Lepisosteus oculatus: one gene and its partners. The protein of the gene in region 4 binds, or shares a complex with, the protein of the main gene of each other region. Links are inferred from orthologs where the notes say so. Each region holds a gene or a part of one and is shown on either strand. Other genes may lie near its edges. The genes, in order: rb1, ccnf, ccna2 and e2f1.

Evidence for each region.
Region 1: the proteins of e2f1 (region 4) and rb1 are in contact, whole or in part, in a crystal structure (PDB 2AZE), measured with the Homo sapiens proteins. The link is inferred for Lepisosteus oculatus from reciprocal best matches to the Homo sapiens genes E2F1 and RB1. Residues at the interface, in NP_005216.1 of Homo sapiens: Ala267, Pro268, Pro269, Glu270, Thr271, Gln272, Leu273, Gln274, Ala275, Val276, Asp277, Ser279, Glu280, Asn281, Phe282; in NP_000312.2 of Homo sapiens: Ser829, Arg830, Ile831, Leu832, Val833, Ser834, Ile835, Phe845, Ile848, Met851, Val852, Asn854, Ser855, Arg857, Val858, Leu859.
Region 2: the proteins of e2f1 (region 4) and ccnf are in contact, whole or in part, in a cryo-EM structure (PDB 9CB3), measured with the Homo sapiens proteins. The link is inferred for Lepisosteus oculatus from reciprocal best matches to the Homo sapiens genes E2F1 and CCNF. Residues at the interface, in NP_005216.1 of Homo sapiens: Gly84, Arg85, Pro87, Val88, Lys89, Arg90, Arg91, Leu92, Asp93, Leu94, Glu95, Thr96; in NP_001752.2 of Homo sapiens: Met309, Ile312, Leu313, Asp315, Trp316, Glu319, Val320, Met323, Arg349, Leu352, Gln353, Trp379, Leu380, Thr381, Asp382, Thr384, Asp504, Tyr505, Val508, Leu510, Thr511.
Region 3: the proteins of e2f1 (region 4) and ccna2 are in contact, whole or in part, in a crystal structure (PDB 1H24), measured with the Homo sapiens proteins. The link is inferred for Lepisosteus oculatus from reciprocal best matches to the Homo sapiens genes E2F1 and CCNA2. Residues at the interface, in NP_005216.1 of Homo sapiens: Val88, Lys89, Arg90, Arg91, Leu92, Asp93, Leu94, Glu95; in NP_001228.2 of Homo sapiens: Met210, Ile213, Leu214, Trp217, Glu220, Val221, Glu224, Arg250, Gln254, Tyr280, Ile281, Thr282, Asp283, Thr285.

The regions. Positions count from the first base shown.
Region 1 is NC_090700.1:17,210,883-17,217,906, reverse strand, and holds the start of rb1 (retinoblastoma-associated protein), read right to left. Parts: upstream 3,005-7,024; 5' UTR 2,843-3,004; coding exon 2,718-2,842; intron 1-2,717. Other genes in the region: serine/threonine-protein kinase Nek3, read right to left, coding at 4,659-4,719, 5,678-5,795, 6,716-6,844. UniProt on the Homo sapiens protein: Tumor suppressor that is a key regulator of the G1/S transition of the cell cycle. The hypophosphorylated form binds transcription regulators of the E2F family, preventing transcription of E2F-responsive genes.
Region 2 is NC_090714.1:3,638,140-3,646,110, reverse strand, and holds the start of ccnf (cyclin-F), read left to right. Parts: upstream 1-4,968; 5' UTR 4,969-5,148; coding exon 5,149-5,161; intron 5,162-6,550; coding exon 6,551-6,705; intron 6,706-7,731; coding exon 7,732-7,838; intron 7,839-7,971. UniProt on the Homo sapiens protein: Substrate recognition component of a SCF (SKP1-CUL1-F-box protein) E3 ubiquitin-protein ligase complex which mediates the ubiquitination and subsequent proteasomal degradation of target proteins.
Region 3 is NC_090696.1:10,719,382-10,727,218, forward strand, and holds the start of ccna2 (cyclin-A2), read left to right. Parts: upstream 1-4,822; 5' UTR 4,823-5,209; coding exon 5,210-5,419; intron 5,420-6,157; coding exon 6,158-6,404; intron 6,405-6,719; coding exon 6,720-6,832; intron 6,833-7,051; coding exon 7,052-7,275; intron 7,276-7,364; coding exon 7,365-7,569; intron 7,570-7,756; coding exon 7,757-7,837. Other genes in the region: bbs7 (Bardet-Biedl syndrome 7 protein), read left to right, coding at 490-623. UniProt on the Homo sapiens protein: Cyclin which controls both the G1/S and the G2/M transition phases of the cell cycle. Functions through the formation of specific serine/threonine protein kinase holoenzyme complexes with the cyclin-dependent protein kinases CDK1 or CDK2.
Region 4 is NC_090711.1:15,208,895-15,216,399, reverse strand, and holds the start of e2f1 (transcription factor E2F1), read left to right. Parts: upstream 1-4,490; 5' UTR 4,491-5,827; coding exon 5,828-6,067; intron 6,068-7,096; coding exon 7,097-7,187; intron 7,188-7,505. Other genes in the region: pxmp4 (peroxisomal membrane protein 4), read left to right, coding at 979-1,248. UniProt on the Homo sapiens protein: Transcription activator that binds DNA cooperatively with DP proteins through the E2 recognition site, 5'-TTTC[CG]CGC-3' found in the promoter region of a number of genes whose products are involved in cell cycle regulation or in DNA replication.

The DNA of each region.
Region 1 (7,024 bases), on a different chromosome or scaffold from region 4:
ACCTATGTAACAGTTTTACACAAGGAGAATTTTGTCTGACCACAAAACTGCTTCAATTACCTTCAAGACCAACAGTCTTACTAAAAAAGTGTGATGGAGGATAAATCCACTGATTCAGTGTACATAAAATATGCTCCTCACTACAGTTAGTCAACTTTAACCAAAAGTAAAATGCATGTGAATTAATTATCTGTTTTAACCTCCCCGAACATATCCGAAATGGATAAGTTCTAAACGCTCCTCATCACCTTAAAGGGGACGAAAGCTTGGGCTCCTAACTACACCTGTGAACCGTTAATCCTTTGAAAACACACATCGGTTGCCCCTTTTGGACACGGGCCTTGTTTCAGTACCAAGTGAGAGGCTGATGTTCAGAACAATTGGAGATCTAGATCTAAAAAGAAATAGTTTTTGATCCCAGAACAGTTGATCACTTACAGGTAGTAATCCACAACAAACTTATCACTCAGGTTGACTCATATTAATACTTAGGTGTACACATAGACCGTTACCTGTGCGGGTCACTCATGTTGAGAGTGTTTGCTCCAAAGTTCAGCAGCATGTCAAACCAATACAAACATTCCTTTGTTCCACTATCCATTAATACTGTCAATGCAAATGTCACGGATAAACACAATTTTGACTCTTACCACCCACTTGAGTGCAATATGTTTTTGTGATGTGTTATAAATGTTACATGTTGTTATGTGTTATACTGTGCAATAGAATGATGCGGAATGTTTTGCTTTTTTTTTAATAGTATAATGAGCAATGTTTTTCTTATTTTTTGTAATAGTCAAATGTGCTGTTTTTCTTCTCCCTTTTTTTCCTGCATGGGTCAATTAAATCTTATCTAATCTATGCTTTTCCTTCTGGTGCTCAGAGAAAATACTTTTTGTCGTCATCTGCGGAATGATCGCCCAGTCCACATCAGACCACTCACTTTTACATTCTAGCTTTTAGTTGTATTAACTTATGGTTACCTGTCTCTTTCAAAAGTTTTATTGTATGGTGGCGTGAAATGATGCATCATTAAAGGTGTATTAAGAATAGTTATAAACAGAGCTCCATGCAGAGTCCTTTCAACTTAATGATTTTTTTTCCGTGCTTGCTTCTCAGTCTTCTTGTTTTGTACAGGGGCAGCTTGCATACTATGACAGTTTTAAATTCCTGATCTGAACACTTCCCCTTCAGTTGTTTATTAGTCTTATGTGAAGCTGTAAAGCAATATTTCCTCTCAGTGTTAAATAATTTGGTTTGATGGCAGTATTTAAGCCTCAACAGATAACGGAAACGTCTTGTAGTATTTAGCAATGAAGCAGATTTGCCTATTTACTATTTTATTATTATGGAGTGGAATATTAATTTGTGCCATGTGTTCTTATTTAAGCTGTAATTAACACAATAAATATTGCTCGATTGATGTACACATATAAGGCAGATTATCAAGTCATTACATTATTCTACACAGGTGGTTAAGTGCTAAAGTGTCCAAGATTTTTTAATATCCTCACACTGTAAGAATTAGACTAAAGTGATAGTTTATTCATGAAGTCCAGAGAAACTTTGACATTGATGCTAATGTCCTACAAGTACATTCCCTATAAACTGATAAAGACCACACATTTAGTTAGTTAATTAATAGAGACAGAATATAGAACAGAGCAAAAAGAAATGTGTAAACATGCAAAGCCAGAATAAGCTTCCTAAACTGCTGATGCAGTGCAATCACAATGATCCTGATAGCAATATCCTAGTGGGTTGTATTTTCACATCTGACTGGCATCAAGACCATTGCTTTAGTATCGAATTAAGACAGTCCTCAATAGGCACTGACAAAGACAACCTACTGGACTTTTTTTTTAGAATCAACAATAAAACATTAATCAGAGAATACAAACGGTCAGTAGATTTAAAATTGAGAACAGGAGGAACCTAACACAAAGGGGTGTGGGTGACAGCTTTTTAACAATATTGTAGTATTTAAATCTATAAATAGATTTCTAGAATAAGTAATTGAAGCCTCTCTGATCTTTAAGAAACTTCAGTGGGTCACAAGGAAGCTCCATTCTCACTAAAAGTGATCTAACTTACAAATCTTACAAGAGGCATATCTTAACATGGAAAGGACTATGAAGCGCTGGGTTAAAATATCATTATAAACACTAGAGACTTCATATTGAGGTTTAAATGTGCATTTTGCTGATCTAACGCTCTGCACAAACTAAGTTTACGCTATCGTACTTTAGTTATATTTCAGCCATGATATCCACCTACATACTAAACACAAACTGGGACTGAATATCTTTCTAAACTTTAAACTCCATCTATCATAAGCATATACACGTAAAGAACGTCTGTTTGGCCGGAGCAAAGACGAAAATGTATAATTGATGAGGACTGGAACCTATTTGACAAACACAGGAAACAAAAACGGAATCTTTTTCACCGGCTAAAGGGGAAAGAAATCTACGAAATAAAAACATCGCGTAGTACCTGCACCTCTTGCATACGGAAGATGAGTAGTAGAACAGAAAAACCCAAGTGTCAGCCTCATTCATGAGACTTAAATCTCTGCGCGGCTCAAAGGCAAACATAACGGGTCCTACATTACACACTCTCAAAAGGTTTACACGCAGCATGACAGCTGGTCAAGTAAACCCAGCTCTTCCTCGTGAAACAAGAGAGATTTTCGATTTCTTGGCATCTGCTGTTACCTTTCAAGAGAGAGCTGGGGGATCCTACCCGGCGTCCCGGGGACACCGACGCGGTTGGTGTGTTTATCCTCCGCAGCCTTAGAAAGCTGAGCGCTCGGAGCTGCGCTGCGTCTCTTTGGAGGCATGTCAATGGCTTTAACAAGATCCGAGTGCAAGTGTAATAGCGGAGAACCACTCCTGGAATCGGCGTCTTTGTCTTTGGATACTTTTTTGTTTGTTAGTATTAAATCCCCCCCCCTACACGTTTGACAAGAAGTACTTCTGGTTTCAACTGATTCAGAGGGCACTTAAACCGCGGGAAAACTGCGAAATATCCTCCCTCCCTGCTCCGTCACTTCCTGTGACATTTAGCCACTGGCCAGAGAAAGAAACTTGTAACTCATTTTGTAACAGTCGTAAGAATGAAAGAAAAAGTTAAACTTATTTGTTTACATAATAAATTGGTATTGTTTACATGTAAACATAAACCAAAGTGTAAAAAAAAAACTCTGTAGTGCTCCGGACGAGACATGTTATTTTGTTGAAAAAGCCGTGGAATTGTTTGAAATCTAGCACGGTCCTCCCCCTTTTAAATTATGGCACATGAGAGTCGTGAAGTACACTTGGAAGTTTTGAAAACAGGTACCCGCAAAATCTTTAACACATGATATTTATTTTTCTGCCGTTGTACTGCACGGTCATATAAATGAAATAATTATTTCAAAACATATGATATTGTTCTCTGTATCCAAGCAGTAAATATATATTTTGTGGATTTGTGTAAATGTTATACTTTGGATAATGTTTATATGTAAACAATATAAATTAATATAAAACATTAATTTTAATCAGAATTTACCCAGAATAAATCTAATTCTTCAGTGGTTCCTGATATATTTGGAAAACGTTTCTGTTATGTATATTGCACACAGAATGATACTGCAAAGCATTTTAAATTATTTTAAATTCCTTATGTAAAACTATATACCAGTTAAAGTGTAATGAAAATTATTAAAAGACTACATCAACCCCAGTTTTTTCACATTTGTAGGTTTGGTTATTCTTGACCTGTTCTGTTTCTTACATTTCATAATATTTGTAACCTGTTATGCTAGACAGATGCTGGTGCTTGGTTTTCATTGTTTACATTCTTTCAAGAAATATTCATTTCTTGCTACTTTGAAGAAAACACTGGGCCTCAGGACAGTTATGAAAGGGGTCTTCTGATAGTAAGATTGAGATTGTGACCTGTAACCTGGGTGCTTGAATTTTCACAGTCTCTCACCTGGTATAAACGTTTTTGACAAAGAGGAAGAAAAGACACATCTCACAAAGCTGACAAGGCACCACACAAATCACAGAAGAACACATAACATAATCTGTCTCTCATAAACAAGCATATCTTTGATAATGCAAAAAATAAAAGCAAAAGAGAAGAAATGAGAAATTCCAAAACAAAATCTCAATGACAACTGGAGGAAGAACATCAGTTGCAAATAATTACATAGAGACCAACAACATTTTCAGTATTTATTGAAAATCAATTCAAAAACTGATGTGGTAGCAAAGTTTGAAATAAAATTCAAACCTAAAGCTGGATTTTGAAAAGACAAATGAAACGCACTTTGGCACATTGTGATCATAAATCTTATTTAAAAATAATCAAATTTTGCCAGTTTATATCATATTGCAGTTGCTGGCAGTTCAGGGAAAACAGGGGAAGAAAATGAGGCTCATACACAGTGATATCCAATTCTGTTGGTTTGTTCATTCAAAATAATAACACCAGTATTATTTATTTACATAATGAAAATATTATATTTAAATACATTTGTATTATCTGTTTCTTTAATTAGATCATTAACAAGCAGGTTAACCTGATGTTAACACCATGGTATTTTGAAAAATAGTTAATATTTTATTCAATGTAGGAGAGTTTGCAATGGCTGTGTCACATTTGTTTTACTTGGAAATCTTCTCTAGTTCTGTCACCCAGTCGGAGAATGTTTCCTCTTCAAAATCCCTGAAAATGACAAGAGCTTCTGTAAGTCAGTTATATGTTAAAATGTTACAAACACACAAATTCACAGAAAAGGTTGTTTGTGGCCTTGGCAACTAATGCAGGGCCTTAAAAGTAATATTAACAATAGCTGTCATGACCTACAGCCAATAAAAGAAACAGGATGGACATAATGTCACTTGCTAGTATTTTTTCCTGTGTTGTAATATACATGTAGAGTATGAAGGAGGAAAGCATGAAGAAAGCTAAAGCAGAATGAATGAAAAATAGACTTTATCCAGGCATTATAAATATAATGAAAACTGTCTGAATGATCTATAATTGACACATCTGCCCAAAATTAAAACAGAATACCCTAGGGATATTTCACAGTGAAACAATCATCTGAGCCCCAACTTAAGTTCACAGAGACCTCAAAGGATACCCTTTCCACAGGATGGTAAAAATCAAACTATATCAAAGGATATTGAAGCAGTAAGACACCCTGGACATTTTCTACAAAATTCAACCTGCAAGTATGAAGCAAAACATTTGGACTGTCGACAATTCAACCTGAGTTGAGAAGAGGAAATGATCTTCTTTCAGATTTGTTCATCATTCTTTAGACCATGTACACAAATCCTCAAGTGCAAACCTAACTCTTTTGCACTATGAGAACATAAGCAGCACAAGGAAGTACTGTGGAAGTTGCCAGCACTATGGTGTTTTAGTCAAGAAAGCAGAAAGCAGGGGTGTTCTAAAAATGGGGATTTCCTGTGGATTAATAGAATAACCTATTACCACATAGCACAAGTTCAAGACTGAGGTTTAAGAACCTCAAAAAGCTTATTCTTCAAGGTTCTCAGTTGCCATACCATGTTAAGGCAGTTTCTTATTACTTCCAATCTCCCATCCAAGTACTAGCCAGCCAATGGAGGGAGTGTGTGCCGTTATGAGTGACAGGGACTGTATAGAGACTCACGTGTCCTCATCATCAGAGCGTGGCTCCAGTCGGTAGGAATCCACACTATCTTCTATGTCCCCATCTGTGTCATCACAACCTCCCCGTGTCAGGGGCCCTACCAGAGGGTTAAATTTGGCTGGGGTACAAAAAAATAAGAAAGAAAAAACCGCCTCGTTGATTTATAAGAACAAAAGGTTACACATGAGGAAAGAGAGGTCAATCAGCACACCCAACATATTTACTTTCTAGCAGCTCATTAAATTACCATTTCCGTGGTCCTCACCGAAAAACCAACTGGATTTTAAAAGCAAAAGATGTCACTGTGGGCCGAGACAAGTGTAGAGACACAACTGACAGTTCCAGATTGGGGAGGAGTAAAATGTTATGCAGAAAATGTAAATATAGAAAACTGTTAAAAATTGGGGAATTAATGGAGTAAACACAAAGTATTCTTCCTGCTAGCAAGGAAGCCCCAACAATAACCAAGAATAGCACTATGCCTGTTTTCTTTCCTCTATTTCAGAAAGCATAATTTGTAAGAATAGCAAGAAGACCAGTGACTAGGTATCCGGACGACAATGAGGGATTCAAGAATCTGTGACTGACCCTAGTGACTGACCTTGTTGTGATTTACTTGTTTATTTTATTTATTAGAATTAAATACAATATTTTATAAGCCTAAATCTCAATTACTTATTGTGTTGCACTTCTACCAAAATATCTTATAGATTCATATTATGTGTTTAAACAGTCCCAACCACAAAACATGTTCAACACAACAAAATCTGACCCTGTATTTGTAAGTATTTTTTTCTTTTACAATACAACTGGTTTATCTTCTGGTATATTTTCTTTGGTGGGGGTCACTGTTTCTGAGTACTGGAGTCCAAAATGTTTACATCACACATCTTTAATTATTAAGTACAAATCAAACAGAAAGCTCAGTGAGTCTGCACTCCTCTTCTGGGACTGAAATCGACACACCTTCCTCTGCACCTCTCCGCGCCCACCTTACTCGCCTGCTGCAAGCCCATTCTGCACATCTCTCTGTCTCACCTGGCCTGCACACAGTGTACGTCTTGAATGCCTCACTGAGATGAGCCTTCTCCAGCAGACTGAGCAGTCGCTCTGGTGGTTTCTTCACCCACTGCATTCGAGGGCGGGAACGGGGATACTCAAGACCTCCTGAGATTCAGACACACACCACAGTCATGACACTGTAGACAAAGAGTGCTGAACATTACCATTCCAGATTCTTACCATTCTGAGGAAAAGAGAAGTTAAACGACCAACAGTTCTCCTGTTAACACACTGCTCACTCATACAACATATTCTGTCCATGTTTCTCAAATATCTTTCTCCTCC
Region 2 (7,971 bases), on a different chromosome or scaffold from region 4:
CTGTAGTAAACACAGAGTCTATATATGTTCTGTAGTAAACATATACTGTATACATGTGCTGTACTAAACAAGTGTTCTATACCTGTGGTGTGGTAAACACATACAGTATTGTATACACGCTGTGTAGTAAACACATAGGCTGTAGTGAAAACATACCAGTTTGCTCTCCTTCAACATTATACCAGAGCAGATAAGAGCTCCTCTGAATTCATGTTAAGATGAATTATAAAACCATAATTTTCTTCTACATTATTTCTAAATATTGTAAATACTGAGCTACTGTAAACAACAGATCCATTAGGCAGCGTACACGTTCACCCCACATTTAAACTGCTTTTTGAGAAAAAGAAGGACCACTTTTCCCTGCCAACTTTAACAGCCTTCTAATGAATAGGATACAGAATTTATTTGTCCTACATTGCACTGCGACTGTTAATGTGGAGCATTATGTACCTTTTCTGTGACATTTTGTGTGCTTGGCCTGCTATACTTCAGCAGCATAAGTCCCCTCCATTATGCACTAATGGGACGAAAACATTTACCCACGACTGGAGAAAGAGGAAAAAAACAATGGCTTGTGCTTCATAGTCAAAGAATTCTCGATCAGTTGTCAGGCTCTCTAAATACAACCTGTCAGACACTTCCTACAATGTGCAAGTCATTGCTCACCCACAAAAAAGCTCTCTCGAAGTCTTGACAATTTTCTGAATACTGAAGCACTGTCTCACTGTGAAAAACAGACGTGATGTCAGAAGTGCTCATTACTCATGAGAAGTATGCATGTGTCTGATAAAAAATGAAGTACGAAGTAGATCCATGATTTAGATGTGGCCTCCCAGTCTCTGAAACCCCAAGGGTAAGTTTCAAGTCCTGATTCTGCTAAGTTTGCTCCTGCAGATATCCGGACTTTCTGAGGGAAGATCTCCAAAATTAATGAAGATTCATTAATCATCATTAATTTTACAGATGCAAAATGTACAAGATGTCAAAAGTACTACTTATTATACATTATTTTTAGATATTTAAAATAATGAGCTGCTGCTTTAAATGATAGATCTGTTAGGTACTCCACTTTGTTCTCCACAATGTATAAATAATGTTATTATATTCCATGTAATAATCTATCAGGATTAATTTATTCATGAATGAGGTTACAGAAGATTGCTAGCAGGGTTGCACACATTTGAAAATGATTTCGTTTAGTTTTTTTAGAGTAGTTTGCGTTCACACGCTTTTGTAATGATCTTTTGTGAACAAAAGGTGATGCTATTGGTGATCTTCACATACTGTATACATTTGTAGATTGTAAACTTACGCCACAGTTTCCATATGCCTTAATGGCAGTAGAATCAGGGAGTGAAGATTTGAGAGACATTTTACGACATGTGCTTCATAACTGGTGATCGGCTCTCTGCATCACTTCGAGAGCCTTGTGCAGCTTTTTCACTCATGGTCATTTAGTGTGTGATTTCAGTTTTCAGTGGACAGAGAATTCTTCTTTCTATTTTTAAGCTAACAATGCTGTTCCCTAGTGTGAGAAAAGACGGCAAGCTTTTCCAGGGGGGACTGGGCTGTGTTGGAATGCTGTATTATAAGGGAATGGTTTGGGAAAAGACATGGCACACACACACACTATCCCCTGTTTAAAAAGATGGGCAATTAAGAGGTTACATGTAAATCCATCCTTTTACAAAACCAGTCACATTTAACCCTGGTTCTGAAGAGCTGAGGAGTCCAAAAGTTTACTTATTACTGATTATTACTGCTTTCATTGCACATCACCACTCAATTACTCAGTTAGTTAGGGTTTAGGCAAACAGACTACAGATAACACCAGACTCAGCAGGACTGGAGACCTCTGATCTAAACAGACTGAGGAGCTTCCAGAGTAGCAGGCTGTACAGGTGTGTTTGTCACAGGAGACACATTTCTTTTACGATGATGCTTCATCGTTACACCTCAAGTTACTGCAGGGCAGTATGAGAAAAAGAGAAGAATGTGCAAAAGGTTTAATGATAGAAAATCACCTGTTGTCAGTATATTTTGGACAGGTGTCCTTCTTCAACTGTGTAGACAGAAATGATGAAAACTATATTCTGCGCAGTGATGTGATGATATCAGAATACAATACTTCAAGATATTCCAAGACTCCCCCCAAAATATCGTACACAGTTTTCCTAAAATCGCAGTTGTGATGTCAGCAGACCACTTAGCGTGGAGAGTGTATTGTTGAATTACTGGGAGTATAGGTAACCATTGCCATAGGATTTCTTCTGTCCCCTGAATAACTTTTGAAACAAGATGATTAAATGCACTAGGACCTTTCAGGCATAAAGAAATACATTTTAAAGATTGAGTTAGTGGGAAGGTATAGACGTGCACGTGAAACGCAGTGGGCTCAGAAAGTGAAATGGAGTCTCTGAGTTCTGGTGTGCCCTTCAGGCAGTGACTGGAGTGTCCTGTCCTTGGCTTGGAGTGGAGTGCCAGCACGGGGAAGGACTTCACCGAATTCTGGTCTGCTAGAGTTTCCACCGACCGTCACCCAGGCAGGCAGTTCGGACTGACTGTCACCCAGGCAGCTGGACTGTGTGGGATGATAAAGGTCTATTGGAAAAAGGCTGCAGGGCTCCAGACACAAAAACCCTGCCAGCTCTTTATCTTTTCCAATTTTCTGTTCCTGGGGATTTGATCTATGCTCGCAAATAATAAAAATACGCGTTTGGCATTTTTGTCAATTTTGTTGCTTTTGTTATGTCATTTTAACTCCTTTTTTGGATTTTTAGAATATTATTTTATTAAATTGTTTTGCGATATTATGTATATATATTAAATTGTTTATATGCATGCATGCATGCAGGGAAGAATACAAAACCAACAGAAAAAAATACATTTTGCTAAGGACAATAAAATCACTAATCATTTTAAAAAGACGTTGTTTTCAGCATTTCTGGTGATTGTATTATAAAGAATATCACACTTTTTTGCATAGGTTCTCTATGTGTGTAACAGAGTTCCAGACATCATCTCTTTCTTCCTTACCCAGTCTCCACAAATTCTTAAGGTAATAATTTTCTTTCAGAATGTTACTTCCTTTACTCCACATAAACGCACTTTGACTACAATTCGGCTCTGGGGATGTTTGTCTAAAGTTGTGTGCACTCTTACTGGTTGATACGTTGATATCCCATCAACCCATTTCCTTATCATCTCTCATTACTATGGCCAGTGGCTCCCAGCATTAAACAGAGGCGTTCCAGGGCCAACAGACACTTACACGCACAAACTCCCACCAGGGCCAGCTTTCCCAGCAGGTCTTTGGGCTGTGGGAGGAAATCGGAGCACCTGGAGGAAACCCACACAAACCTGGGGAGAACATGCAAACTCCACACAGACAGCGCCCCAGGCCCGGAACTGAACCCAGGGCTCCGAAGCAGCGACTTTGACCCTAAGCATCAGTCCCAAACCCACATACAAAAGCCACAACACCCTTTTATTGCATGGTCCTCGAGATATTCATCACAGCTCTGGGACAGTAGTGCAATTACAAATGATTAATGTAATTAATAATCTCCTCCCAGAATCAGAAGTGAATCACAGTGTTTAGGGACGTTGGCAGAAGGTTGCAAAAGATCCAGAATCACTTTGGAAATCTCTTCCATAATCCTGACTTTTGTCCTGGAAAACCTGCGCACGTTTCCCTCAACCATACTGTACATTTAATGGCTAGTCTGACACACGGGAGTTTTCCACACATGTCCAACCCTGACCCTTCACGCCAATGTCTTTGATCCAGACAGCATTTCACCATCTGTTTAAAATAATAGGAGAAAGGTAAATGCACATTAGTGTATTTTATATACTGGGTGCGTAAGCACGGGTGTTATTTCTGCAGTATCTGTCGCTCTTCACATCTGTGTTTTGCTGGAATATCTCGGCAAAATAAGGAACTGAAATCCCAACAGAATCACACTTTAGTTTCAATCGGATGCACACGTTACAGATGGAATTAGAGGAAATGGATCACACGCGGTCTGTCCTGAAGCTGTTTCCGTACCCAAAGGGGTTAGAACACTTTCAGGTGGGAGGGGCGTCTTGACTTCTGAGTAAAAAAGATTTAAAAAGCGTTTTGTGTTCTGTGGTGAGGTTTTTAAACGCACTTCGAAGTGTCTGAGTTAATTGCCAATTGGACAACTGCTGTTACGATTTTGATTTAAAGCATTTGATCGTCGCATTGAGCAGCGCAGTGAGACGTGGCCGGTTGCCTTATTGACAAGACCTTTGTGTACTTAGTAGCAACGTCCATTATATTGTAACGCAACCCCGAAGCCTTACAATATTTTATTTTGGCTAAATCAGTGTTTCGTACCGTACCTTGTTGGTGCACAATTTCAATAAAATGTTATGTCTAGGGAAACGTTCGAACAACAATCCGTGATGTGGTTTATGATGCGTTTAAAACGCAAACTTTACGATGGTATTTTTGTCGCTATGAGCATGCAATCAATCATTTCTACCGTGGATCTAGGACGTGAAATAACTATATGCTAATAAGCTAAATTCTTTCACACGACCGAGCTTCGCCAGGCTCGGAGCTGGAGAACCGCGCCCATTGAGGTATACCCAAGTCTCCGACGTCCCTTTAAATTGAGTAGATTTAAACTCCGAATCATACACTTCACTACAAATCCCAGAGTTTAACACTCCGGGGCAGGACGCGCAAAACTTCCCTCTTTCCATCCAATGACGTGCCTGCGACTTAGAAGCGCGTAATTCGAAATCGCGTTGCCCTGGCCAATCACCAGCTCTTTTCTTAGCCCTCCCGTGAAGGCAGCCAATGGCTGGAGCGGGGTCGATTCTCCGCCAATCACGATGGCCTTACGAGCGGAGTGGGCGGATCGACGGCCCGTCCAATGAAATGACGAAGTTGATGTTTAAACTGGGCGCGCGGGCGGAGCGTCAGGAAGTCCGGGGGCGGGGACTCGCGGTGGAGCTGGTTGGGTTTGAAATCTTAAACTTATTGGTAATCTCCCCAGTTTTAAATTAAACCCACTTTTAAGTTTCCTATCGCAAAGAGGCGCAGTAAAGACGTTTTAATCTTACATATTTATATGTACATAGTATTTAATTTTTCATTTAGCAACGCTTAAAATGAAAGCAGGCGGTGAGTATGATTGCATTTTGCTGCGGTTTTGCAACTGTTTCAATTTGAAATGTATTTAAAATTCAGAACTGTGACCTAAAAAGTGCGGCGATGTTGCATTTAAAATTGCACTGCTCTTGATTCCGTAACGTTAACGTTTCGTTTTTTTATACGATTTAATAGTTTCGGGAGATATATATATATAACGCCACTGCATTCTTTAAAATATCAAGCATACGTAAAATAGAACTTTTGTAAAATGTATTTTATAAAAAAAATGAACGAAACTTCAGAATACTGTGAACTACTGTAAAGAAATAGTTTCTGTTGCCTGCATGTTTCGTTCAGATCTCTCATTTGCCTCTCGATTTTAACTCTGAAAATCTGGGGACAGTATTAACTATGGGGGGCACTTTATGCACGGCAACGTGTCCTGTAGTCCTGTATCTAAGTAGTCCTCAGCCACAGGTCGATCTGTGCTAATATACATTACATACCGTAAGTCTAACAGCTCGATTAAAGGCGTTTACCAGCTTGCATTGTTGTAAAAGTAAACGGAGGAGTCAGGCTGGGTGCTGATTTTCTGCAAATAATAAGGCAGTGTTGCTCATTCCGACCCTGGCAGGACAAAGTATACATTTTGATTCAGGAGTGGGCCAGGAAAGGCGCCGGGGTTATCTTAGCCCGGTTACTGACAAGGAAGTACCAAGGTGGTCGAGAAGGAGGGAAAGGTTTAGTGCTCAGTGGGGCCGGGGGACCGTGAGCGTCCGACGCGTATTTGCGTGGACTCTGTCCCGGTGGTCTCCCCACTCACGTCCCAGAGGCGCCGGGGGCGTGTGAGGCTTATCCCGCCGGCTTTCGGATGCATTAGCATCTCAGAAACGCGCAACGTTTCGGCTGTGGAGCCTTCTTCGGGTGTGCTGAGGGTGCTCGACTCCCGAAGAAGGCTCCACAGCCGAAACGTTGTGTTTATTTCCTTCTCTTTCCAGCGCGTAGTAACCCTTTACTTTGTTGCTCCGCAGCCTGCGCCCGCTGACCGTTCAGTTAATTGTCCTATGCACACGTGCGATGAAATGCTCATTTGCAGGTGTGCTCCAAAACAACAGCCATCTAGGAGACGCCTGAAATATCAACGCGGAACAGGAGCCGCAACAGTGCGTTAATGTAACTCGCCCCTCCCCAGACACCGCTCCCTAATCTATTAGCGGGTGGGAGGAATGTCACGCGTATACACGAAGCACCGTGCAAACGGGTGGGACAAGGCTGGGTTTTAATGAGTTTACATCCAAAGGCCCCGTCCTGTCCACACGCGGCGGCTGACGGGTTGCCCTGCGCCTGAAGCCCGTGCTGTTGTGGATGGGGCTGTGTTACCGCGGCTCTTACCCCGTGCATGTTGTCTCTATCCCCCAGTGCTCCACTGCCGCTGCCCCAAGTGCTACTCGGCGCCGGTGCGGATGCGGGTGCGCAAGCGGGCGCCCGCGCTGACGCTCCTCGGCCTGCCCCGCGAGGTGCTGCTCTGCGTGCTCAAGCACCTGCCCGCCCAGGACCTGCCCTCCGCGAGAGCCGTGAGTCTGACCCCCACCACCCCTCACCCCTCCGATCCACCAATAATTATAATTGCTGACACTTAGATAGCGCTTTTCTGGACACTCCACTCAAAGCGCTTTACAGGTAATGGGGACTCCCCTCCACCACCACCAATGTGCAGCCCCACCTGGATGATGCGACAGCAGCCATAGTGCCCCAGTACACTCCCCACACACCAGCTCTCAGTGGGGAGGAGAGCAGAGTGATGAAGCCAATTCATAGATGGATGTTCTTGCACACAATGGCTCTAGTGCAAGAACGGTGTGGTGTACAGTTTCCCATGGGATGGGGACAGGGTACGGGGGGGATACTGATGAAACCATCTCTAGTTGGCCGGTTCTTTGCTCGGCTTGGCAAATGCCTGGTTTTCCCCAAGACAAGCCAGGTTAGCCTCCCAGGTATCCGAATGGAAATGGGAAAGGACTCCTGTCCCGTGTCTACAACCAAATGGAAAGCCGTTTTGTTACTGTTAATGGCTGATGGCTTTTTTTTCCCTCCAGTACTGAATAATGAGATCAATAGCCAGACAATTTAGAGGGCTCTTGTGCTGATGAGTAGTAGCTGTAATCGAACTTGTCCCTTGTAGAGAAGTTCAGTCACCATTGTGGTGACAGATACCGTGCTACACGCGCAGCTCAGCTGTGTTTTAGATGATGCTGTCAGGCCTCCTGAATCTTACCTCTTGCTCGTACTGGGGGATCCCAGGCGAATCACTCTTTCTCGTGTGAAATCTGTAAGCTCAGATCTGAAACCGCCAAGGGGCATTGGAACGTTTGGTTTAGGGACAAATGTCTTGTGATTCGCGAACAGCAGGCTTGTCGCAGGGGCGTAGCCTTAAGGTGAGGAGTTAAGTTTATTTGGGGCGTTTTAATCTAATCTAATGTACAGTGCATCTGAGGACAAGAGTCATTGGCATTCATTCTTGAAGGAGACAGATCTCCGTCATTGCACAGCATCCCGATGGATGGGCCGGAGTAAAAGCCTGTTTCTGGTTGTCCTTCCAGGTCCACCCCCTGCTCCGCGATCTCATTGACAGCTACACCAGCGTGTGGGCCAGGGTCAGTTTCAAAGATTCCTGGCCGACGCCTGACAATCTCTGGCTCTTTGAGAGGTAAAGGCTGAGATCCACATCCGTAGTTTTCAGGTTTGACCTCTCCGTTTCAGTACCTTGTTTTTACTATAGCATGTCACTATAAATGTTTATAGGTGGTCATTTTGCTTTGTGCGTGGTTGTTTCTAGGCTT
Region 3 (7,837 bases), on a different chromosome or scaffold from region 4:
AAGGCCCTTAACCCCAGCTGCTCCAGGTGGCTGTATAAATGGCTGACCCTGCGCTCTGACCCCAAGCTTCTCTCTCCCCGTCTGTGCCTGTGTGTCTCATGGAGAGCAAGCTGGGGTATGCAGAAAGACAAATTCCTAATACAAGAGATTGTATATGGCTAGTAAAGTGATCTTATCTCTTATCTCAATGCTTAAAATGCAACAGAAAAGACAAGTATCTAATTATCCAAAAGGAAAATGTATTTTCTACTTATCGTGGAAATAATTCTTTAGGGTAGTTATTGGATGTTATGTTATGTTCTCTACCATGCTTTTTAATTTCAGCAGTTGTTTTCATGTTATAATCTTGACTGACATGTTATAATATGTTTAATTTTAAAAATGTATTAAAAAACATACTAGTGTCACTGCAGGAATAAAGAAAATCTAACTTTTTCTACAGTTCCGTATACAGTATTACATTTAAATGTTAATGGGTTTTTTTTGCAGGTATGATTACGGATCTCTTCATTGACAAATTCAAATTTAAAGGACAGAATGTCAAGACTAAAGTACCATTGCTGCTTGAAATCTTGGACAACTATGAACTGAATTCTTTAGTGGAATTTTTTGATTCAGCATAATACTGAGATGTAAACAAATCATTGAAGTTTCATCCAGTGTGGTATGTTTTTCCTAAGAAGCTACAGTAACATTTTTTAAATTTTGTGTTGTATTTTTAAGAAATGTTATTTGGAAATACAAGGGAAGTTATTGTTTCAGTTTTCAAAATATCATAATTTTCCCTGATACTTTCATACATTTTAACTCTGTAAAATTGATGTATTTATAAATGATATGTACAATAGTTGAAATGTAGTAATATGCATAGAAATTATATGGAGTGGTGTTCTTAGCAAGTACGGAGTTGGTGTTGCAATGAACAGTTCATACAAATATTTCTTCTGACTTATCATTCACATCTATTCCAAATACTTGAGCTGTATAGTGAATATAAGAATTTGATTTTCTAAATATATGTTAATGTTAATATTTTTCTATGTTAAATAATTCCAGATTAATTTATGTATACAGTTACCTTACTCTCATTGGGGCATATAACATTTGTGAAATAATCTTAAATAAACTTAATTATAAATGTTTAATTGTCAGTTTGAGTTATTCTATTAAATGAACAGTCCTGCTCAGGATAAATTAAGTACCTTTCAATGAAGAGCTGCAAACTATATGTCTGTCACTCAATAGTCTTGTGAATACACAGAAATGTTGTGATATGCTGAAGATTTAAGTGATTTTTCAAGATGAAATGTAGGTTATAATCAGGTGGGATGCTCTTGGTGATCAGGGGGGCATTTTAATATTGGATCTGCTGAATTAACACCTGGTGCAGAGCAACCCAGGGAAATTAATGAAAGTGCTTTCCTGCATTGAATTGTCTGCCTCCCAGGCTTTACAGGAGGAATAATTCAATCTTGATTGCAGCACAAAAGTGATTTGCAGGTACTTTAATGGTTTGGTGATGTAAATGCAAGGATATTTTAAATGTAGGCAATCTGTGATAGTGAAGAACCAGTGTCAAATAATTACTCCATAGGGATCATACAGACTTTTTCAGGAATACTATGTTAAGAAGAAGTAGCATTAAAATTGGCTATTTGATGTTCATTAGGTACAACTTCCATTAACACCATTAAAGATACATTATGTGCGTGAGTGATGTGTTTGTTTTTTTTGCAAGAAAAATATTATCTGTACTGTATCTGTAGCATAGGATCTTTGTGAATGTGTTGATTTAATGCATAGCTTTAAATTAACTACTAGTAGTATATATGTAAACTTGAAGAAGGCTCCTGAAGAAGGCTCCACGGCCGAAACGTTGTGTTCTCTTTCTTCTTTTTTTCAGCATGGAATAAACCTATTACTTGTTCCTTATGTGTAAACTACTATGTTTATATGTAAACATACTGTATACTATGGTAAACTAGACATAACATTTAATGTTTTTTTTAAGCCCAAGGATATTGTTTGTATTCACATACTAACCCTGGCTGCCAGCAATTAGTATATCAAAATAAATCATACAAACACCTGTTTTTTTCAAAGGTTCTTCTTCTGTTCCTGTTGTTAGGATGTTAAAAATTGCTTTCCAAGGAACGTTTTAATACATTTATTAAAAACTCCATGTAGTATTCCACATTTCCAAAGGTGTATTAATTCCTCCATTTTCGAACCACTTTATCCGATACAACCTTGCGAGGGTTCCAGAGCCTACCCTGGCAAGCAGCAGGCTCAAGGCAGAAAACACCCTGGACAGCATTGCAAGACACACAGAGACACACACGCGCTCGCACCTAGACTAGTTTCTTTAGAAGCTAATTAACCTATTAGTATGTCTTTGAACTATGGGAGGAAACCCCTGCAAACACATTTAAACTCCAAACAAAAAAACACCCCAGGAATTGCCCCCAGGGACCCAGCGCTGTGAGGTAGCAATGCTAACCACTGTACAGCCATGTTGTCCATGTGTATCAATACACAAGGGTTCAATTAATAAAACCTAAAATGTAAGAACCTAATTTTGAGGTGGCAAAAAAGCATCCGTATTATTTGTAACCACAAATTCATATCAGATTACTCTGAAATCCTAAATAATAATAAGTCTTACATCCCCTAAAACATCCTTAAGGGGATAAAATCACTTCTTCAGATCTAACTAAACACCCCAGGTTAACATCAGAAGTTAAGGTACTTATGTGCTAAGTTGAGTAGCTTTTTTGTACTTTTGTGGCTGATCTTGGAATTAATGTGATCAGTTAACTGGAACAATAGCATCTTAATTTGCTAATCCATCTTGGTGACTCCAATCAACAAGTCTACATTGCAGACAAATTAAGGCAATAATTAAGAGGTTACAGAGCCAAATCGTTTCACAGTTCTGGTTTGCAGTAATCAGAAAATGTGCCCTGGCTGTATTTAACATTTCAACTAATCCATCTTATATTTAAAATTTGAATTTGTATCATGGAAAATTCTGAAATTAAAACAGTTTAGGATTTAAAGTGGAACAGTGTATACCAATTATTGCTGTTATTACTACAGTTTATGTTTAGTTTTGTGGAAAGTGACTTTTAAAAATGATCCATTACTGTTCAAACTTGCAATTGAGGTAAATTGCAGCACATTGATTTTGTGTTACTTTACATAGCAACTAGGAGTAAGTAAAGATTTAACTCCACACTAAGAAGCAGAAAGAAGACATCGTTTCGGCTGTTGATCCTTGTTCGGGTGTATAAAGCACAGGAGGACAAAGGACTGGGAAGGTGAGAAAGAGTGCAAACGAAGGGAGGTCTGGGGGAGAGGTGTGAAAACCTGAAATCTGTAAATGAATGGAGAAATTCTAAAAAGACGAGGTTTGAGGAGAATCTTGGCTTCTCGTGTTTTTCTGTAGTAGGAGTCCCGAGGCCCCTGTAAAAAGAACTGTCAGTGAAATGAGAAACTATTGTGCTGGAGAGATCTTTGAGCCTCACTGCTCTGAACGGTATTTATAATACTTGTGTTTGTTGTAGAAAATATGTAATCAGGCCAGAAAAGAGGAACTTGATACATTCAGGGACGTAAAGGAATGACATACACTGACAGGCTGAAGGACCTTGAACAAAGAAGACCATGGGGGGACCTCACATAAAGATTTAAAATCCCCAAAGACATTGACAGGCCAACATCTTCAGCATGAACCAGAGGACACACCAGGAAACTATGTGGAATTGTATTTAAAACTGAGAACAGGGGACACTTCTATACCCAGGGGGTGGTGGGTGTGTGGAACAAGCTACCCAGCAATGTTGTTGAAGTTGTTTTCTTCTGATGTTCTTGGATCAATTAAGTACCAAACAGGCTAGATTGGCTAATGGCCTCTTCTCATTTCCACGCTTTTAAAAAAATTCTCCTGTACAAAGTAACTATACACACTTCATGGAAAATAACTGATGCCAAACCCTAAGTGAATCCTTCATTTTCCAACCTTTCTTTTTTTATTTTTGGAGTTATGATACAATTACATTTCATTTACATATAACAGAGATACATAAACACAAAATAAAATATAGCCTTTTTGTCCTTTTGAATAGTACAATATTGGACATTCTCAGTTTGCACATATCCACATTCAAAATGAATGGTAAACTGGACTTTCAAAAACCTTGGACTAATGCTGCACGTTGTAGACAACGTGGCCAGTTCCTAATGAAGTTTATATTTCAATATCATTAAAAAAATGTTTATTTCGGTACATTATAATACTTATGCATCGTAGGAAACTACTAATTATATAAAACTAACAGGAAATTCATCCTATTTTTTAATATTTGAAAAGGAAAATAACGTGCATTTAATGAAGTAGCATTTTTTTACTACTGTGTGTTGTATGAATATATACAATTGATGTCTATAACATTCTAGCTAAAACCTGGGGCTGTACCGTAATGGCCTAAAATGTGCTAAGTGAATCAATCAGTCAAAAAAAGATTACTTCGGCAAAATGTGAATTAATCACATCGTCAATCCAAATATTTAACATAACCTCAAGTGAAAAAAAATATATTGTTTGTTCAGATTACCCAAACACTTGAAACGATCTGTTATGACAGTAGATTTATAGTTGTTGTAATCAAAGTATAATACCGGTCGCTGACTCAATCATATTTGAAGGCTTTTGTCCCGGTTCTTGTGAGACTGAGCCCCAGACAGGAATTTTGGATGTCTGCGCCACCGTAGGTTTGGTGACGTAAAAGGTGAGGCCCGCTCGGATTGGGTGATTTCAATAGTCGCGGGCTACTTGAACAGAGAAAGCAGCAGTCCAGTAACTGCAGGAACTGGGGTTGGTGAGGAGTTGCAAGTTAATCTCTGGTTATTCGGATCGCTAAAAAACTGCAGCTCGAAAATACAAGAGACCCAGCATGGACAGCTGAAAGTGATACGTCTGGGGAGGCGGTGATCGGTTGTTTTTTTAAGTTTGTTTTTTTTTAATTCTAGACTTTGGGAGGGGTATTGGAGGACCTCTTCGTAGTAGAAGACTCTAACCCTGATGTTACAATTTATGTTTTTTCTGGTTGCTTGCTAGTTCATAACGTCACAATTGTTAACCCGGAACTACGGCGGTTGTTTTATTTTAAATTTTAGAACTTTATTTTAGCGTACTAGCTGAGCAACAATGTTTGGTATCAGTCGCGATCACGCTGCGAGTGACTTGCAGAAAAATCAAGACCGGGAAAACATGCTTCTTAAACAAAGGGCTGCTGCAAAACACCGGCTTGAAGATCAAGAAAATATAAACCCAAAAGCTACAAGCAGAAGTGTTTTGGGAGCTTTGCAGAACAACCAGAGAAGCGCAAGACCCCAGCTACAACAAGGAACAAAACAGGTTGGTCGAAGCTCTTTTAAATTAATAAACGATTAAATTATGCGATTTAAATCTAATCGGTGGTGATAATATACATTAGATAAACTTAATCTGAGGTTTTCGGTGTTTCATTGCGGTTTGCAGTCTATCGGTGTTGGTGCTCGTCTGCAATTTCTCCTTTAGTGTGGTTAACTTCTGAGATTATAGAAAGCCGTTCCGTTTTTAAAACGCACAGTGGTCAAAACACTTGATGTAGTCAAGGATCTAGATTAATCATAATTTATTACCTTAGCGCCACAGAGGCAAACAACTGTTTAAATGGCCATTTGGTGTTTCCCAGTGAACAGTCCGCCATTTTCAAGACGGCAGGTTACTGCTGTAACGAGCTCTACACATTGCAGAGACGGGATAAAATTGTGGGATCACTTGTTTTGAAGTGTACTAGTCAAGTTTTCGCTGACGTTTCCGAAGATTCTGGTTTCCCTTTTCCACGAGAAACTAATCGCGCGTCCGTTTTCAAAAAATGCATGCAAGCCATTTCTCAAGTTTAACTTAAAAGGCCGTGGTTTACGTTTCTGCATTAATCTGGATTTTTTTTTTGCATTAACCTGGAATTGCCAACGTTATAGGAACTTGGACTGTAATTCAGTGACCCGCCATTTTAGATGATTATAGAAGCTCTACCTGGCCAATATGGAAATGTATGTAAACGTCCACTAATACTTACTGACGCAAGATGTTATTGTTTTTTGTTCTCAGGGCCATTCGTGTCAAGTGCTGTCCTGCACAAATTCTGAGAACCATGGCCGGGATCCTTCAGAGAAGATGGGTGCAAAGCAGCCCGGTTTCACAATTCACGTGGATGAGCCTGATGGTGCTTGTACCAAGAAGCAAGTGGCCTCCAAAGCTAAAGTCCTCATGGAGAAGCCTCTGTTTACAATTAACCCCATCGCGGGGAACAGACAGCCCCTTTCCGTTATTGAGTGCCCTCTGGATGCCAGTTTTGGTAGGTGTTTCCTGAAACAAGAATGGCTTAGCTTTAAGGAGGTAGCTCCTTGGAGACTGACTTGCAATCAATGGGAAGATTTATAGTTTTAAACCAAAAGAAAACTTACCTCACTTAGCTAACAGTGCTTTTTACTCTTTAACCCTTATGTAACCAAGCCTAGGCTTTTGTAACAAGTGCAGTATACCCTACCACTGTAAAGAAAGAAAGCAACTTCTCATAATTCTAACTAATTTAGAAGTTGGTATCCATTTTAAATCATAATGGCATAACCCCATTGTACTAATTCTGGGCTGTACTTGCTATTTTTTCCAGATTCGCCAGTGGCTATGGACATGTCAGTATGTGATGCTGAGGAAAAACCAAGGGATGCAAATGAAGTGCCAGACTATGCTGTAGAGATCCACAAATACTTAAGGGAAATGGAGGTAAGAATGGATTTTTTTTTCCACAGGCAAACTTGACACTTATATTAGTTTGATTTGAATGCTTGTTGTGGGGCTTCAACTTCCAAATGAAGGTAGAATCCCTTTCCACTGAGGGGAGTATGACCTCCAGCTGATCCAAAACCTCTAAGATGGCTATGTACAGGGGGATTCCAAAACCCAAATGTTTTAACTCTTCATTTTAATTGTTCTCTTCCTCAGATAAAGTCCAGGCCCAAAGCTGGCTACATGAAGAAACAGCCAGACATTACGAACAGCATGCGAGCCATCCTTGTGGACTGGCTGGTGGAGGTGGGAGAGGAGTACAAGCTGCAGAACGAGACGCTCTATTTGGCTGCGAACTATATTGACCGCTTCCTGTCCGCGATGTCGGTCCTGCGGGGGAAACTGCAGCTGGTCGGGACGGCAGCTATGCTGTTGGCTTCGTAAGTCTCACTCTACCACCTGAAACCCCCTTTTCAGTTGATCCTCTTCCCCTTGTATGAGACCTGACTTGGTTCCCCATTGTGTTCAGGAAATTCGAAGAGATCTACCCCCCAGAAGTCACGGAGTTCGTCTACATCACGGATGACACTTACACTAAGAAGCAAGTGTTGAGGATGGAGCATCTTATTTTGAAAGTGCTGTCTTTTGATCTTGCTGCTCCTACAATCAACCAGTTTCTCACCCAGTACTTCCTTCATCAGCCAGTGAACCAGAAAGTTGAGAGCTTGTCAATGGTGAGTTGATGCCAACGATGTTTATTTTTATTGAAATCCCTGGTATTTCACTTACAGGTTTTTAGTTTCCAGAACATACATCACAGACCTTTTGTAGGTCTTCCTCTTTATTTGTTTTGCACTTCTATAGAAGTGCAGAGATGTACAGAATGCATTCATGTCTTCATACCTTGTTAATTTTTTGCAGTTCCTGGGGGAGTTGAGTTTAGTTGATTCGGACCCGTTCCTGAAATATCTCCCGTCGGTTACAGCTGCCGCCGCCTTCGTT
Region 4 (7,505 bases):
GCAGCCTTGCAGCGTGTCATAAGATGGGACTGTTCTGAAAGACAGGCATGACATCTGTGGAAAGCACATCTGTGGATCCCCCTTCTCTCAATGTGAGCTCATGAGTCGTAGCCTGAAACCCAGGTTTTAACCACGGTTAGATATAGAACACAACAAGATACTTGAAGTTTAAAATTTAGAAAAAAGATTGACCCCACACTTGAAATATAAGAGGTTGAGGGAAAAAAAATGTTTAGTTGTTATTGTACAGTCTAATGATCTGCAAGTTTTCCTGCTTTCTGTATACAACCAAGTTTGGAGCAGGCATTAAAATGGCCAGTGAGAAGGAATGCTTTTATAAACGTGCACAACTGTACATGATTGTAAATCCAGTTAAGAGGAAAATGGGCAATGTGGAAATGAGTTTTTAAACTCATTTTAAGAACTTCCCAGCAGCTATATCACCATGCAATTTACAACTGGTGACCCACTGAAGCTGAGCAGGTGTGATCCTATCCAGTACCTGAATGGGAGACCTCCTTGGAAAGCTAAGGTTGCTCTGTGGTCTTTAAAAATCCCAGGGTGTTTCTCGAAAAGAGTAGGGGTGTAAACCCGGTGTTCTGGCCAAATTTCCCATTGGCATTTATAAATCAAGGCCTCGTAATAATCCCCATCTATGAACTGGCTTTATTACTTTGTTCTCCTTCCCATTGATAGCTGGTGTGTGGTGAGCGTTGTGGTGCACTGTGGCTGCCGACACATAATCCAGGTGGGACTGCACATTGGTGGTGGTGGAGGGGAGTCGCAAATTATCTGTAAAGCGCTTTGAGTGGAGTATGCAGAAAAGCTCTATATGAATTGTAAGGAATTATTATTAAAAGGGGGACGGTGCAAGAACTATATTTGAAAATTGAACACTACAAGGAAGAATGCATTACTATTTGAAGGCTGTCAGATTGTGAGCTGTGCAATATGGTACATTGCTTTCATTCTCCACAGATAAACATGTACCTTTTGTCCCGGATCCTGTTTGCTCTGTCTCGCTTGGCTGTAGAGAAGGGCTACATCCCCCAGCCGAAGAGAGATCCTTTCCCTCTGTTCGCAACCCTGGTGTGGGGCATCGTGCTGTGGCTCTTCGAGTACTACCCCCATACTCTCCAGCCTTCACTCCAGTCCTCAATGAACTACCTCTACCACGACAGCAACACCTGGCATGACATCTCTGACTTCCTCCTGTACAACAAGCCCCGGGCTGGGGCTCAGAACTAACCTTCCAGCAGCTTGGACCCTTATCTGGGACGGGCTTGTCGGGTTCTCTTGCAGGCAGTTCAGATCAGTTAAGATGAAAGTTCAGGAAAATCCAGCCTTTTTAGAAGAATGTTCGTACTACTGTTTCCCCTTTGGTCTTGGGCTTGTTTTGCATAGCTGAAAGTCTATTTACTAAATGTGTATTGTGAGTGGGTTAGCAAGACCTTTATGACCCAGCTGTACATTTCAGAGGAGTCTGGAAAAATGGATGTCAATTTGGTCTTCCATCATTAAACCCCATCTCTTTAGAATTATTTAATATCATTAGAATTGGAATTTTCTTGGGGTGGGGGGAGGTGGTTTGGACCTCACCTCTTTTCAATACATTCTCAAAGAAGACATTTCCATTCCCTTAGAGGTGGGAAAGCAAAACTGGCCTCCAGCACTTCTTAGATTTTATATTTGACTAACTTCAGAGTGAAATCGCAGCTGTTTCCTGATGATCTCTGAAGAGGGCTGCCTTTCCAGAGCAGCTGTGTAATGTGCATGAATATTTTCTAACATTATGATTGAATAATGGAATGTCAGCTTATTTTCAAGATATGCCAAAACATCCTTCAGTTTTTTCTTGTCCTAGGTGTTTATCAATTTCTACGTATACTGTATATTAACCCTGAGACCAGCAGATAGTACTGTAATGTACGTGCTGTTTTCCATAAGGTTTCCAGTCACTCATCGAGAAAAGGTCCTTGTAGTTTAATTTGGCTGTGTATTTTTAAAAATACTGTTTACAGTTTACTTTCTTAATAGTTATTTGTTTGCAAGTTCTGTGTAATACAGTAAAAGTGTACAGTGTACACTTTGTTCCTTAGTTTTGCACTTACAGAATTACTAAAACCTTGTAAACAGTTAAGTTTTTTTCTTAAATCACTGTGACACGTTAAGCCTATGGTATAGAATGGTTAATATTTTTTCTGTTTTCACATTTTATGCTATTAGTTTTGATGCATGACAGAATCATGATTTTGATTCTTCAATTGTAATTCTTTGAAGTTTTAATCAACAGTAGTAACTTTATTCTGTCATGATAGTTCTTAAATGAAATAATTGTCTTTAATCATATTGGGCATAAAAATAATAGGACTATATCTTAACATAAGAACAAAACTCCCATGGCATGATAAGGCAGGATGGTAAATATAGGTTATCAGTTTTTTTAAATTGGATCAAGTTCTCAAATGCACTACATATGAAGCTTCACTGAACAGTTTTTTTATTAATAGAATACTATTATTTATATCAATAGTTATACTTTATTATAATAGAATAATAAACCATTCCATCTTCTCTTTCATGTGGGTAACAACAATAGAAGTGATTTTTTATATCTACATTGCAAACTCAGATTCACAACAGTCGTTTTGGAATTTGGGGTTTCTGAGCTTTGAAATGATTTGCTTCTCAATTGTACTGTAGAATTTTTTTTTTTCTGTTGTAGTGTGGGCATGAAAGGGCTGGCTTGGTTAAAACCCAGAAAACACGCTGCCTTGTGCTAATTTGTTGTTTAATCACTTAAGTTATTCAACATTTCAGAAGGAAGGACAGCCCCCCAAAATAACTGGTGAATCTACAGGACAGTGTTAGGAGACCCCTGACTTTAAAGCTTGTCTGAGTGAGCTAAAACATTGCTTTTGCAGAGTATTACCACTGAACATTGAAACGCACAATATCCAATATTTTTAAATAAGTTTCTCTTTTTCAGCCCAGGTCTGCCTATTCCTTATTCTGTCCTGAGTACTGTAAGGAATTGTAGCTTCAGGTGAACTGGACTGGTTCTGTGTCTCTTGATCTATGACTCTTGAGTATGTTTTGCAATCTGTGACAGCAGTCTTTTTTTAAACCTGTTTATTTTTAAATTAAGGATCCAATCCTTAATGAGAAGCAAACTGAGATCATGTTAAGAGTAACCGTGCTGATCATCGCTGTTTAAAGTCAAAGCTTTTATCCAAGTTACAGAATCTGAGTGAACATCAAATATAATACTGAAACAAAGTGACAGTGATTTCCTTTTAATGTTGTATATAAAAGGCACTTTCTAAGTGTTGACTCATCACTGAATGCATGCCATGTATATTGAATTTTGCTTAGTATATGTAAATAACATAAACTGCTCAGAATAAATTTTTTAAAGCCCTACAGTGCATTTGTTCTCTTTGTTGGCTGTTGAAAATAATAGGATCCCTAGTGTACAGATATAAAGTAATGTTGTCATTTGTGTGTTCTCCTATTTACTTTCAAATTCTATGTAAGCTTATTGTTGGCAAAAAAGAAAGTGAATTGCTTGGTTCTCTCTAGCAATAGTGTCTAATCTGAAGCAGACACGTTCATGCTCTAGTCTGTAAAGACATGCAGGGCTGGGCCCCTTATCTGTGCTGCCAGTAGTATGCAGGACTGATGAACAGTGCAGGGGCTCCGCAGGGGTGGTGTGGTGGCTCTGTGTGCTTGCGGCTGGAAGGTTGTGGGTTCGAATCCTGTGGTTCTGACCCCTAGCTTCTCTCCCTGTCTCTGTGTCTCATGGAGAGCAAGTTGTGGTATTTGAAAAAAGACAAATTTGTAATATAAGAAATTGTTTATGGCCAATAAAGTAGCCTTATCTTATAAATGAGCAAACTTTCAACCCTTAGGTACTTGTTTAGGTTGCAGTGGCTGATCAGTCTCAGAAGACCCAGCCAGCATCTTCCTGAGGTTCATGGGAGTTCTGGCTTCAATATCTTGGCTTGGCAGTTGTTCCTTGGCATGTTGTGGGTCTGTCCAGTAAATGTTTAAGGAATCGGAACGTTTTGTGATTTAGTCACAAGCTTGTTCAAAATATCACATTTTTACGTTTCGGCAAATTCCGTACTGGAAAGAAAACCTGCATCGTTCACAGTTTAGGAGTCTACACGCAGCACGTTAAATAATTCTGTTTCGGATTGCTGCGATTTTCGGAAGGCCACGTTTTTCAGAGGGGGTGATTATAATCTCACACGAGTGACATTAAACTCCTGTGATTTCTGCAAGAATTTCCTTTGTGCTCGACCTCAGTGAGTGAAGACCCGCACACAGACCCATCACCTTCCTGCTCTCCAGCACAGCTGCCCTTCGCGGGGGGTGTGTGGGTGGAGCCAAAAAAAGGGTAGGTGCCGCCCCGTCAGTGCAGAGCTCCTAGAGCTCCACCAATCCGGAGGCGGGGTTAGCACACGTGCAAGTTTCGCGGCAAAAAAGATTTGGCGCGCAAATCCCCAGCTCTTGTCTGATCAGCTGGGACAACAATAACAATAACAAGAACAAGTTGTAGATGGGGCGACGGGGGTTCTGTTGCGGAAAGTACCATACATTCACTTCTTAAGGACTATTTTTTTCTGAATTTATGCTGGGGAATTTTTCGTTGTTTGGCATTTTGGGTTGTTGGAAAACATCTGCTTTTACGCGTATGAAGGATTACGCTGTTTTCTGCTTCCTGAATACTAGCTCAAAAACAGGGGTGTGCTTTTATTTTCGCCTAGATCAATGGAAAGAAACGGCCGCAGAACGAGAGCATATAACTGAATGGACAAGGCCCTCGGGATGTTCTTGATACACCTTTTGATTTCAGATTTATGTCTGCTGAAAGACAAAATGCGCTGCGCTAAACTTGAAAATGGAATTTAAATGAAGAAGCACCAAATATTTTTAGAATATATGGAATCAAAGCATTCATGCTCTAGAGATCATTAAGATGGACAGTATTATTTTTGTGCATTTCGCAGACACGAATGGACTGTATTGATATCGAATCGATTTGTGATCGTAAGGCGCAGACGGAGCTGGGACAAAGGGCAGGGTGCTCCGGAGAACTTGAAAACCGAAAGAAAGATCGTGCGGTTGCACGGGGTTTTTACAGAGGCTTAGTGAAGAACTTAGTTGAGAATGTGTGTTTTTTAAGGGACCTTAACAGTTCGCATTAAGATGCATAGATGCATGCGATAAGAAAATGTATAGTTGATTATACAATGATTGCGTTACTGGACTGATGTAAAATGTAGGGAATCTAAAATGTAAAAATCCTGTTCGCACTCAGAGGCGAGTGTATGATTCAAAACGAAATTGATGATATGGGAAAAGTCTGGCTTTTTAAAGTTAAACTTGTGGCCTTTCGCATTTTATACTGACTTATTGTTTCGACCGCTTTCTGTCAGGCTGGTTTGAGGCAGACTAGGGGCCTGTAGTTAGCAGTCGAGCTCTCTTGAGTCTTTGTTGTGCGTTGCAATTACAGGTCCTGAGCTATACCAAACATGTTTCACTTGCGCACCCACAGACTGTAATTACACGTAGCCGAATGCCAGGGTTCAGCAATTGGCTTTTATGTGTTATTAGGATATACACCCTGTAGGTACAGTGAGGCAGGTTTACTTCGCGAAAATTAACATTACTCTTAAGATAATGGCTCCGGTTGTACTCCTGTTTTTACCATTGTTCCACGCGGAGACATGAAGCTTTGCCACTAAAGTATCTCAATTACTGCCACAATCCGAGCCGGGCAAAGAAGGGGGGGAAACGGGCAGCCGACCCGCGGAAGGCCATGTCCGAGACAGTGGTCACAGGTCAGACTTCGGAGGACCTTCTGGCTGACTTTGAGTCCATTTTGGGATCGGGAAGTATTGAGCTGAATGAGGATCAGATTGTCATTATCTCCACGCCGGCGCATGTGGAGATCCAGCCCGCAGGCTCCAGCGGCGCGGCGGAGATCCTGCTGTTCGCCACCCCGCAGGGACCTGCCCCGGAGGACGAGCAGCGCCGGCCGGTCCTGGGACGCCCTCCGGTAAGGGCCTCTCTGTCCCCCGGACAGAAATACAACTTGTAAATGCAAGAGGCTGCTCATCTGTTGCGCAGATGGATAAAGTCCGATATATATGGGCATATGGTCTAGTCGTGGGAAGTGGCTGTTGAATCTTTTATTGAAGACTCACAGTTCATTCAAAAATATAACGCTCATGAAAATCAACAGGTCATCATTGTGCCAATGGCGTTTTTACTAGACTGGGGGTAAAAAAAAAAACATATTGCCAGGCATGTTTGTTACTGAGGATTGTCAGGAAGCGTAAAACTGGTCATTGATTTTTGTGGTTGTCGCTCGTGGAGTGGTGCAATAATGCCCTGTTTTGTGTTTTGATGGTTTTTCTGAGGATATAATAACAGCAGTTATAAGGGTACTGATGAGGCACAGTGAGGATTGGTGGTGGCCTGTCATTCTTCCACGACAGTAGTTTAAACTGGTAGTTTGTTGGTGTGGTGGGCGAGCTGCAGGTTGGTCAGGACTTTTCTGTCCATGTGGCCAAGGGAATCTGCATGAGGAAAAGGCTACAGTTCGCACAGCAAATGTAGAACCGTGATGCTGGCGCTGTGTGAGAAATCAGTTAATGCGAAGTTTGTTTTATAGTTAAGAAAATTGACACCAGAAAGATGAATTGCCTTTAGGGACGTGCGATTCTTTAAACATTAATGTTATGCACATGATCAGATCATCCTGTGTCAGTTTTGTGCTCTCCAGTATTTAACGTGCTGTGCTTTTTCAGCAAGTGCCATGAAAGTATGAAGTTGACGGTGCCCTGCTCTGTGTTTCCAGACCCATGCAGAAAACTTGAGTGACTGAACAGCTGAGATGAGGGGTTGTGTTGAAGGTAGAGCTAGGCAGCTGGTGGGTTGGGCGGAGGGGGGGGTACAACTCTGTTACAATTTTGTCAGGCCGCTCCAGGTCGCTTTTTCCTCTGGGTCTAGATACCCTCAGTGTGCTTCCCCGGTTTCAAGTCATGTACCCGCCACTGACTTGTCTCTCCCAATTCCGGCGCAGGTGAAGAGAAAGCTGGACTTGGACAATGACCACCAGTACGTGTCCGAGATCCGCCATCCACCCCGAACCAGGCCTCGTGTGCCGGAGAGAGGTATGAGCCAACCACTTCCCTGAAAAAGTACTTTCGAAATCCCCCAGCATGTGAGGAGATCGAATTCAGTTACAACACCCTTCAGAAGGAGGGTATAGGAAAGCCAGCTGATTCACCAGATTAAATAAAATAGAGAATACAAAGTATCTGTATGTCTGAGCTTGAGATTAATATAAATGCATAGAATGGGTGGTACAGTGGTTAACATTGCAGCACTGAGGGCCGGTGTTCAGTCCTTGGGGTGCTGTCTGTGTGGAGTTCGTATGTTCTCCTCATGTTCCCGTGGGTTTCTTCCAGGTGCTCCAGTTTGCTCCCACA